Drosophila melanogaster: one gene and its partner. The protein of the gene in region 2 interacts with the protein of the main gene of each other region in a pairwise test. Each region holds a gene or a part of one and is shown on either strand. Other genes may lie near its edges. The genes, in order: CG14323 and CBP.

Region 1 (3,700 bases), on a different chromosome or scaffold from region 2:
GCTTTTCCTTATTGTCCTAGAACAAACATAAATAAACTCCAGGACAAATGCATATGAAGACGGAGAGCATTGGACAGGAGTCAGCAAACGCCTCAATATGTGGAAAAGCAGATTCCGGTGGCCAGATCCCTTCACTATCTGCACTTTCACACTTCTGTTTATTCAACTGTCGCATGGTTGTTTGCTTCTGCCACGCCCTTGGGCATGGGCAAGCTCTATTATTATTTTCGCAAGTTATATAAAAATAATAACAGGAGCGGACACGGAGCTGACCAGGCCAATGGATGGCCATCCATTATGCTGCCGGGCATTTATTTGCCAAACAATTGAATCTCTCCCCAGCTCCTTGGGCAGCTTGCAACCACTTCATCAGCCATCCTCGTTTGCAGCTATCTTATGGTTTATGATGGAATCAAAACAAATGCCGGAGCTACGATAGCTCGGCTTTGCTCGTCCGGAACCTCGAGCTCATCCTTCAGCTGGTGAGGATGATGATGATGAGTTTGTTTATGCAGATTGCTTGTGGAGTTTTTCCTTTGGCGTTAATGGATAAATGGACGTGTGAGTGTGTGCGTGGGTAACCCTTTTTGAGGATTTTTCCGGGGAGCTGCGCCACTTTCGAAATCTAGTTGGTAATGTAAACAAAATGATTTTAATTGCACAGATGAACGGTTTTCATTTAAATTTATTGATACCAAGCAATGGAAACACTTAATTTTACGGTCTTTATTAAATTGCGAAATTATTTAAGTACACTTTTTTAATAGCTTAAAAACATTGGTCAGCACTAAAATAATAATCCAATAATTTTGTAGGATATTGGAGTTTTCTTGTCTTAGTTTAAGCAATAGATTGCGGTTTTTAGTGTGCAAAACATTTTCCGGTTTCGAAAACTTAATTTTATCTCTTTTCACTTAACTTTTTTTGACGCACACATTTCAATTAAAATTGTATTGTTTTCTTTTACTTTGCTCTGCTCTGTTTACTTGGGCGAGCGCTTCCTCCGGCTACTTGTTTTCCCATTCATCCCAGGGTATTGGAAGGGTATTGGAAACGGTCCTGGCCGTTGTCCAGGTCCTGCTCCTGGTCCAGAATACCCACCTGCGCTGGCCTGTACCGTTCCAACGGATGTGGGCGGTGGCATACCAGGTGGTGGTGGAGGGAAAGGCGGAGCTGGTCGTATCGGCGAAGCTCCGCTCAGATACCCATAGCCCATGGGACTTCCAGACGTCGCGGAATTTTGATCACTTTGATAGATATACACATTGCTGTTCCCCTGAGCCTGCTGCTGATTCAGAGGCATGGTGTAAAATCCTGCAGGTGTAGCGTAGTAACCTGGTTGAGGACCAATAGCCGCCAGGCTGCAGCCATATACAGGACAATTGTAATAACCAGATATGGGATAGGCGGGGCCGGCGAATATGGGATCCGGATTGTGAGAGGCCATCCAGCGGTTACGCCAACGACGAAACAAAGTACCCAGAAAGAAAAACGATCGTCCATCGATTGGTTCTGGTCCTGTATGATCTGGTTCCTCATCCACATCCAAGTCGGTTTTCTGAGATCCATTGCTGTTGACCAGGATCAGCAAAAATAAAATCTGGAGCACTGCCATTTTCCCAACTGCATCTGCTGAAATCTGTAGGCGGACTACTTTGCGTCCGATCTCAACTCCAACTCAGTGAGTCCCACGAAGACAGGCTGCCTAATGGGCCTTGTAATGAACATTCAAGTGCTGTAACTTTGGCAAAGCAAACAAAGCGTGAAATTTTATTAATACAAAAACATTCAAGGCTGCCCCAGTTACCGACCGAAATCTGTACAAGTATTAAAATGCATATCCGAAAATGTATATCTTAAGTTAAGTTAAGTATTTGAATAAAAATTATATAAAACGATTTCCTTTTTTAGGCATTCATTTTATTTATTTTCATTTCATTTATATGAAAACCCAAAATTAAATTAAAACTAAAGCAAAGATTGCCAAATTTATCTAATTAAAACGCTAAACCACTATTTCTTTATACATACAGTCCAAAATAGTTAGCGGCGCTCACATCGGGGATGTAGCTCAGATGGTAGAGCGCTCGCTTAGCATGTGAGAGGTACGGGGATCGATGCCCCGCATCTCCAGAAGGTTTATTTTTATTTTATATTTCCGGAATTTACATATTGGTTTAAAAAAATTTAAAAATAGGTATAAAAAAAAGTTGCAGTGATTTCCCAAGTATGCATCCCTAAAAATGTTCTCCTTTCCCACGTAAATACTCGCGAGCCGCACGTACGAGCAATCTTTCATTATTAAATGTACAGAAAAACTCGAAGTTTTTGACTTTTGCTGCTTGATTTTATTTTGCCGCATTACATACTTTTGTGAGGGCAACAAAAACCGTTTTGAGTTATGAGTTCTGCGTGCCAGGTGTACTAACATTTTAAGCAGTTGAAGATAATGCGACGCCTAAACACCCTGTAAGGCTGTGCTGCTCAAGAACTCTATACTCATTGAATCAGGAAAAACACCAACTTCTGAGCCATGCCCGCATACCCAACTTTTAGCGGGAGGCCTGCGAATAAAGTGTGCAAAAAACAGGTGACAACAATCAGTACGAGGTAAAAAAGGAGGTGGCGCACGTCCGTGTCTGGAAAAACAAAAACAAGAACCACCAAGGGCTGTGAAAATTCACGCGCCCGTGAAAATTTCGCACGTTTTTACGGACCATGAACTTCATACACCCCGACCAGATATTCTTTCAAAATATGAGTTATGGCTGCATAGATTAGCTGGCAACTATTTGATTTCTCCAACACGAAATTCATTTAATTAAAAAAATACGCAAAGTCAACAGAAAAACTAACTAAACTTTCCACAAACTTTGTTGCCATCAAAACAATAAAAACCACAATCCTCGGCCGGGCTTTGCCTTTGTTATCGAAGCTCGAAACGGACAATGGAGTGTCCTTTTTTACGACAATGCCAAATCCGGCGGAACCACATAAATTATGTTAATGCCTCAGCTATGTACACGCCCACTGTGTGCGACTTTGGCCGAACTGACCGTCCAGGATAATCAGAAAAATACACAGCACACATCGTCCTGGACGAGGGACATTTGCTTAGTGGTTTTGTGAGATAGTTTCTGGGCTGTCCTGTACATTGAGAAAATTGCTGACAATTGCTAAAAATCTCGGGTGACGATGAGGCTTGGATCAGCTTTTTTTTGGGGTGGGCGTTAGAGCATTGCGAATGATATATGTATGCTTGAACACATGTTGTTGGGGCCCAGAAACTGAGCTTATATCGTCTGGGCAAATATTAGGGGGATATTTTAGTGGAGATGGCCAAACTTTGAGATCATCAAAAGGGAATCGTTCAACTAACTTTTGTATCCGATAAGTGAAGTCCCGCAGCAGACGACCAGATATTAATTCTCGGGGGGAAATTAGAAGAGGACATTGCTGTATCCGATTTACAAGCAAAAAGGACTCTGCAAATTAAATTTATAAATATAATATACCATTGTTCGGCTTGTCAGAAGTTTGTTTTTCCCTCCATTGTTACATAATTATATGGCCCGGAGTTATCGGTGGGCTTGAGTGCGTTTGTGTATAAAAAAGCAAGATAAGCCAGAACCGAGTGCATGTAAATAAATTGAAACAAATAAGCTGACTGTCGGCTAATTGCAGGGAGACCCCTTTATCC
Region 2 (7,985 bases):
TCTTTTTCATGCCCTATCTATAGAATTTTGGGTGTATGCCATTTTGTATCAAAATAAAGGGTATGTCTTAGATTTTGATACTATATGTTACAACAAAATATGACACACCACTTATATGATGGAGATATATATTTATTCCTAGCATTTCATTAAAGTGTATAGTCTTTTAAAAATGTAGAGTAGAGTATTGGAAAAGTAGCTCAACCCGTCTTCTATTTTAGGTAACATTTTTTGTAGACTCGCAACATCCAGCTAAACACTTTTCAGTTGATATCGCAAATCCTTTTCGCTGGCGCTTACATAATGATATGTGGCCGCAGATGCCAAGGGAGGGAACATTTAAAAAAAATGCATTTAAAAATAAAATGAGAAGGAAGTAGCGTCTGCTGTTTGCCTTTCTCCATTGAATATTGAGAATATGAATTAAATATAAACCTGCAGCAGGATAATCATAAGCAAATCACTATATGCAATTAGGGAAATAGTTTAAACATAATAAACTAAAATCTATAAGTGGACAGAGTCGCAAAGATTTAGGAAAACCATTTTTGATCGCTTGATCACCCAATAATTGAAAATATATGCTCGTATTATTTATAGTATATTTAAAAATCATTTTTATTCCGTTATATCATGCTTGCTGTATTGTGTAATATATCAGTTAAACATAACTCTTAACTAGACAAAAAAAAAATAATCGATTATATGGTAAATAGGGTGACCGTGAATAGTATGTAGCTCCACTTTTCAGAGTTTATAAATGGTGCATTTGATCCTCGACCAGCTTTTTGGGCCTTCTCTTGCGGCGTTTTCTTGCCTTTCGTCGTAGGCGATCGAATTTCCGGATCCGGTCGCAAATGAAATGCTTGAGGTCATCGCCCTCGGCGGCCGATTGACGACTGCACGACATTGTGAATATTATTAGCGAGTTAAGGTAGACAAAAAATCTTATATCGTAGTCATCTAATGATGGTTTGCCCTTGGTTCGATGATTATTATTATTATTATCTTTCTGTCGGTCTTCCCTTTCCCGTTCCCGTTCCTTTTGATAATTACTAAAGTTGTGCTTGCGCAACTTGGAGGCGGGATACGTAGTGGGCGATGGATGGGGCTCAAAGGTCGAGCGCTGGCGCTTCGAACTGGACAAGTGTTGCCGAAAATAATCGTAAATGCTCATGTTCCTTATAACGATCGTGGTGGTGTTGCTAATGTTTATTAACGGTCCCGATTTATGAGGCGCCACATGCTGTAGATTTAGCCAACTGCCGCCTGCCGCCTGCACGCGAGTTGGCAACGAAGTGGCCACTATCTTATTGTAATTGTTATTGGCCAACATCGTTGTCGTATTCAATGTATAATGTAGCATTGGCTCATTGGTGTTATTGTTGCCGATGTTATGGCATCGGACGTTGTTGTGTTGATGGTTCTGATAATCTTGATTGTAGTAAGGATTTTTTTGTTGGGTTATTGTTGATTTGGTTGTATTGTAATCTACAGCAGTGACTGCAACCCGTCAATGATCAGCGACCAGCGGTCCCCAGAACATTTTCGATATCTTCGAGTCGTCCTCGGTTAAAAAGAACTGACGGCCCAAATGCACAAACTCCTTGAGCGACAATTGGCCATCGCCGTTCTTGTCTATCACAGCGAATGAAACGGCAGCATCGTCTTCGGTCAGTCCCAGACAACGGAAGAAGAGCTTGTATTGTTCGAGATCCAAATGGCCAGTGTGATCAAAGTCCACAGCCTAAGAAAAAAAAAACCGGAAAAATTATTTTTCTGTTTATCGATAATAGCAACTTAACAATGAAACTAACCTTAAACAAGTAGGGCAGGAAGCGACCGATGCGTTTGGCCATCTTCTTGTCGTTGAGACGATGGTGCAGATCGGTGAGGAACTGCTCGGCAGTTACCAGATTGTATGGGGTTATCTCCCCGAACTGCTCTTCCCAAGTATGCTTGATCACATCGTTGAATTCGGCAGCGACCTCTGGGGTCAAATGGCCCAGATCGCTAAAGCGTTTGGCCAGCAAACTAAAGTCGTCGAAGGACACGACGCCGTCGTGATTAACGTCCAAAATGCGGTGGAGAGTACGCATTTTGCGGCGCCAGAATGCTGAGTCGCCCTAAAAATGAGGAAAAATATACATATTAATTGGTTTGCCTTGCGATTTTATTTTAAATTTTAATTATATTTGATTTAAAACATTCACAGGGCGTGCTAAAAGCTTCTTAAACTCTAAAGCTCATTGCAATTCTGCAACCAAGCCTTTTGCTCTTTTCAAACTTTAAAAGGACTTGAAAAGTAAAAGCTTGAAAGCTTTGCAGGACTTGACTGTCCTTATTAAAATGCTTTTATTAACATCAGCTTATCTCATAGACGCGCAGCGACTGCTTGTGAGCTTTTAGAAGCTTTAACCAAAAGGCTTTGAAAGGACTTTAAGGAACTGCTTGATGGCAAGTATAGTCAGGATACAAGCAACTGCTTTAAGCTTCAATTCGCTTTTTTTGAGAAAGCTAAGATTTCGTATTAATAACCAAACAACAAAGCTTTGATCTTAAAACAGTCTGCACTCAAACCAGTTACTACTGTTAAATGGCCACTGTTAACCAGGTTACAATGTTGGACTATTTTTTAAATGCCGTAGAGCAGGTTCAAAAAACGACATTGAGCACGATAAACAAATTTCGAAACACGTTTCTCGGCCTGTCGAGCAAACACAATTGAAATTTCTCAGCCACGTGGACCGTGTGTTTTATGGATCTATTTAATGGATTATGCATTTCTCAAGCAGTTCACTCACCCGTTCGCTGCGCTTGGAATCCATTTTCTGGCGACGACGCTCGAACTCATCATCCGAGTCGGAATCGCTATCACTTTCCACCTCCCGTCGCAATTTGGCCGCTCCGGCCTTCTTTGAATATTGACGGACAGCCTGGACCACGGCAGTTGGCATTTGATGCCAAAGCAGTGAATGTGCTCCATGTCCACAGATAATGCCGCCAGATGCCAGGCGCTGAAATCAGAAAAAAAAAGGAAATTAGAAAAATGTGAAAATGCAAAATGTATTGGATAAGTTTCTCTATCATAATAATCATTTTGATTGTGCTTTAAAAAAAGAGATGCTAACGTGTCATTAATAATGTTACGCAATCATTATGCTATTGTTTTGTATTGTTTTTGTGTATATTTCGGTTTTCACAGCCCCATGCTGAATGCTCTTTTTGTTGTTGATATGGTTGCTAGACGCCCTTCGGTGTGTAAGCAATCATTATGTTTTTAATTACAACTCAGCGCACTGCTGTTTTCCTGTGTTGTTTTTGTTGTGCGTGTTATTTTCTCATTGTTAAGGTCAGTTCTGTTTACTCACAAAACAATTCTAAACCTGATTCGTCGTTATCTGTTTTTTTTTACGAGTTTTCCATCTTTGGTTCGCCTTAAAAGTGCCAAAGAGTGACTGTCAAAATGTATCTCAAAAAACTCGGTCTACAGTTTGAGAGGCGCTTGGTAATGGTAAAAAACCACGTGGCGATCATGTATGTAACGAATTTAAAAGAAGAAATTGTAAACCAGCAGGAAAATAGCTTCCAATATATATAAAATATATGTAAATATAGGACACGGTATTTTACACATATATAATACATTCAATGTCCTTTGCTGCCAACATTGCAACTTTGAAAATTAAAAAAGATAAATATTGATGCCAATAACCAGTTCGGAGAAAGGTTTTTTCCATCACCTGTGCCATTAGGAAAAGATAAAAAACAAAATTCGCTACTCTTTTAATTACAAGAAACCGAATTCTCTTGTAAACGTTTTGAATTTCAATGGCTCTCGATAAGAAAGAATCCAAGTACAGATGTTGCCAGCCACCGACGACGATGATATCATGCATCATACCATATAACATTATCATAAAGCCCGCACACTTATTGTATTGGACTGACTGCTTTGGGACCTTTTTTCGGTTCCAGTTGCTTCGTTTGGTTAAACGAACTTTGGATTGTTTCTGTTTTTCGGTGTTTTTTTTTTCGTAAACAAGTTTCTCCAAAATACGAATTAATGAATGCAAAAAACGGGCCTCCTTTCATTTGAATGTCTGCGCGTCTCGAAAATAAAGAGAAACACGTTTCGACCATAAGAAAATTAAACAAAAAACAATGCCAATGATTTATATGTGGAAGATGCAGAGAGTAAGAAGACGGCAAATAAAAATCAAAGTCGAGCAACAGGTCAATGTTAATTTAGCAGCAAACAAGAAGTAGAAAAATTGCGAATAAAATCACTTTAATCATTTCCTGTGATTCTAAAACTTCTTTTTCCGTGGCGGTTAGAGAAAAAGTAAAGGGAGGTGGGGTACTTTTGTTGTTATAATTTCCAATGCTTTTGCGCAAGATTTTCCTGCTACAGAATTTGCGCAGTTTTCCGACTTTCAAAATGAGGGGGTTGTTGTCGGTGAGAAGGGAAAACAAGCTTTCACCTGAATACACGGTGAAAAATACCAGTAAGTATTAATATTGGCTTAGCTGGTTAAATTAATGTATGTTGTGTCAACATAATATCATAAATTTCGTTTCAAAACCGAAACTTTTATGCAAATACTATTGGACGGTATTTTTAAAGCTAACAACATAGGAGTAAGATGAAACATGTTTATATATTAACTGAACTATTTTGTTGAATCTATTGATTCAATACCAACATTTCTTTGTGTGTAATTTCCACTTGTTTATCTTACTGTATCTTGTTTTATTTGTTTCATTGAGGGATATGCCTCTTTCGGCGCCGGGTTTTCAATTTCTTATTGATTGATTGAAGTGCTGCGCCCTTTAATGATTGATGTGCAAGAAATTTGCCAGCACCTAAACGTATTTTATAGTTAATCATCAATTGAAACCAAAAATCAGCAATATATAATGCTGCTGCTAACAACAATAAATTAATAATGCGGGAATGAAAAGTTAATAAAAATTAGAGAATTAATAATCCCAAACTCTCTTGTATTGCTAGAATTATAGTTGGGAATATCTATTAATATTAATCAAGAATTGAACTCGAGTTCTTACAGTTTCGAATGCACTGCTACAGTTTACTTAGCACTGGCCTCGTTTCGTGAACATTCCCGCTCCCAATTTTCATTCTCCACTTCCCTTGCTTGTCTGTATTCACCCCTCTTCCTCACTATTTACAGTTCTCCTTCCACCACTTACTGTTTTTCGAATTGCGATTCTATTTTTCTGCTTTGTTTTGAGTTTATATCATGCGGAACTGCTTTTTGGTTGGAACATCTTTTGTGGAACTGGTTTTAAACTCTTTATTTTATAACTGTTGCTTTTAAGTTTGTTTTAGGAACTGCTCTTTCCTGTCCGCTTTGTGATGCTAAGTTTTTCTAACTGCTTGTTTCTGTCAATTCAATTAGTAACCTTAACTACAATGCACTGAAAGAAAAGATGCACTTACGTGACAATCGCTGTGCGAAATGGGCGTGTTTGGGGGCGGGGAGGCATTCTGCTGCAGAACGCCGACAGTTGCGGCCATGTTGCGTTCCAGAATTTCTCTTGAAGTGCGCAAAATACCACGGCTCACGATGGAGAATGCCATTTTGTTTTTCGCTCAAGTTTTAACCTCGGTTTTCTTAAATTTTTCCTCAATTTTCGCTACGTTTTCCTTACAGTTTGAACTGCACTCGAGAAAATGTGCAACGTTGCTTTTTTTTAGGGATTTTGTTGTTGAACTCTTGTTATTATTTCGATTGCAACGCGCATTTAACAACCGGTTTTTTCGAAGATGCACCACAAAAAAATGTTTGCCTTTATTTTTCTGCTTTGTTTTGTTACACTTTGTTTTTGAGTCCGCTAATTTCTATTTTGATTTCTCTGTGGTTTCAGTTTTTTTTTTTTTTGGATATCTTTGCTTGGGAGTAAACACAACCGTTCGCTTAAGCGTTCGAATTCGTTTTGAAAACCATCGCTGCGCAAAGAAAAGAAGTCGACGTCGACGCCTGTAAAAGCAGAGCGGTCTTTCTGAGTGTGTGTGAGCGGGAGTGCGCGTGTGTGTGTGTGGTTTTGTGTGATGAAGAGGGAGAGGACAGCATAAGAAGGGAGCAGGGAGAACAGCTGCTACTTGGAATGGTTACCACAAGCAGGCAGTACACACTATTGAAGCCAAAATATTAGTAGTTACATTTTCAAATGTTCACGAAATCAAACTTTGAGCTGCATTAATATACACATGCATATGTGTCGCAAGAATATTTTTGAATATGAGCGTTCCCAAATGTTAAAACCAGCTTTAAGAGATGCGGAGGAATTAGTATTTAAGTTTTTTAGTTCATATTTTTGCGCCCTTGGCTGTATATATGTAAGTACAAACACAAAGGCAAGACCATGTAAGCCGGTTGAAGAAGAAAATGGAGAGGAAGCAGGAGCACAAGAAGAAGCAAAAACAAACACAAAACCCAGTGATTGTCAAACCTCGCTTAAATGGAGAACTGTATTCGTTTTCAAAATAAAGCCCAAAGAAAATGCATTACATAAACATGGGATTACACACACATATACATACACGGACTACAGTTTTCCAATTGATAACGTAAACGAAGGAATCCAAAAACAAAAGCCAAAACTCAAAATGAAAATATCATAAAATGTGCGTATTTAGGTCGCTGCGTGTGACAAACTGTCGGTCCAATACAATATGCCCCAAGACACCCTTCCCCCCTCGCTACGCACTTCCCCGAAAAGTGCCCTCTACGCACACACATACAAATGAAGTAACACAAATACCTACGCACTAATAGTTTCTGTTTTTCCGTTGCTGTTCTACTTCATTGCTCCACAGCAAAACGCATGCTTACACCCACACGTGTGCGGTAAATATTATAGGATCATTACAACACTTTAAAACTAATAACATTAAAAGATCGTTTTCAGTTACATACCAATTAATTTCAAGCACTTGGCATTTTACCACCATTAAAGGTATCTTAAACTATTTTTTATAACCCAAATTGTCCAAAAGCATAATGCACTATGCTGATCATTCTTCGCAACGGAGCACTATTTCTAGTACCTTCACTGTGGACACCCATACATACACAGCTGTACATACGTGTAAGATTGTATAATAGTCTTGATCAAATAAGCGCCAGTGGACTTGGACCCAAAAAACATTGCATCGAAACGAAAACAAAAAAGAAACCATCGAAAAAATTAATAAGGGGGTAGTGATTCGGAATGGATATATCAGTGGCCGGCAAAAATTAAAGGGAATTATCAGCTCCACTAATTCCCTTTAATCTTGGTTCATTTTAATAGTTTTTACTGCCCATCAAGATCAATGCTTTCATAAATCCCCCATAGTTTTGCAAGCACTGGTTCCCCGCAAGAAGTGCAACACTTTACGTACAAAATAAAAAAAATCGAAGGCCCCCCACTTTACCGTTTCGAATGCGGCAAGCGGAGTGCACTGCACTCTGCGGAGGCAAAAACTTGAAAATACAGACGGAAAACCAAAACATGTGAGCAGCCGGGAAGTTTCCAAAGCGGATTATGCGGCGGTGAACTCGAGATAAATTGAACATAATCCGTTTATAAAGATAATGGAACATATCTATACATACATATACATACATACATACTATCTGCTAGAACGTTCTGCTTTTGTCTGTGTTCCTTTAAAGTTAAATATTACTTCTATTATTTTATTATTGTGATAGATGCGTATTTGATATCTCGATAATACCTATTCATAATATTAGCCACAGTAATGCATAAACGTCACTTGTTTCGGGGTGGACGTGTGCTTGGAACGAGAACAACCGGCGCATCGGCTGTCTGCTGACTTTCCGACCGTCACGTAACACCAGGTCCAGGGACAACAAAAGCAACACAAAACAACTGCAAACATATGACCACCAAAACAGGGTCTCCAACCATGTAGTATATACATACATATGTATGTACATATGTAGGTGTAGAGT

Evidence for each region.
Region 1: the proteins of CBP (region 2) and CG14323 interact in a two-hybrid assay, tested with the Drosophila melanogaster proteins (one large-scale study listed by BioGRID).

The regions. Positions count from the first base shown.
Region 1 is NT_033777.3:17,620,486-17,624,185, forward strand, and holds CG14323 (uncharacterized protein), read right to left. Parts: upstream 1,628-3,700; 5' UTR 1,616-1,627; coding exon 983-1,615; 3' UTR 714-982; downstream 1-713.
Region 2 is NC_004354.4:7,335,336-7,343,320, reverse strand, and holds CBP (sarcoplasmic calcium-binding protein), read right to left. Parts: upstream 5,970-7,985; 5' UTR 5,606-5,969; coding exon 5,465-5,605; exon of another isoform or gene 5,071-5,464; intron 3,018-5,070; coding exon 2,805-3,017; intron 2,127-2,804; coding exon 1,818-2,126; intron 1,748-1,817; coding exon 1,514-1,747; coding exon of another isoform or gene 755-1,513; 3' UTR 590-754; downstream 1-589.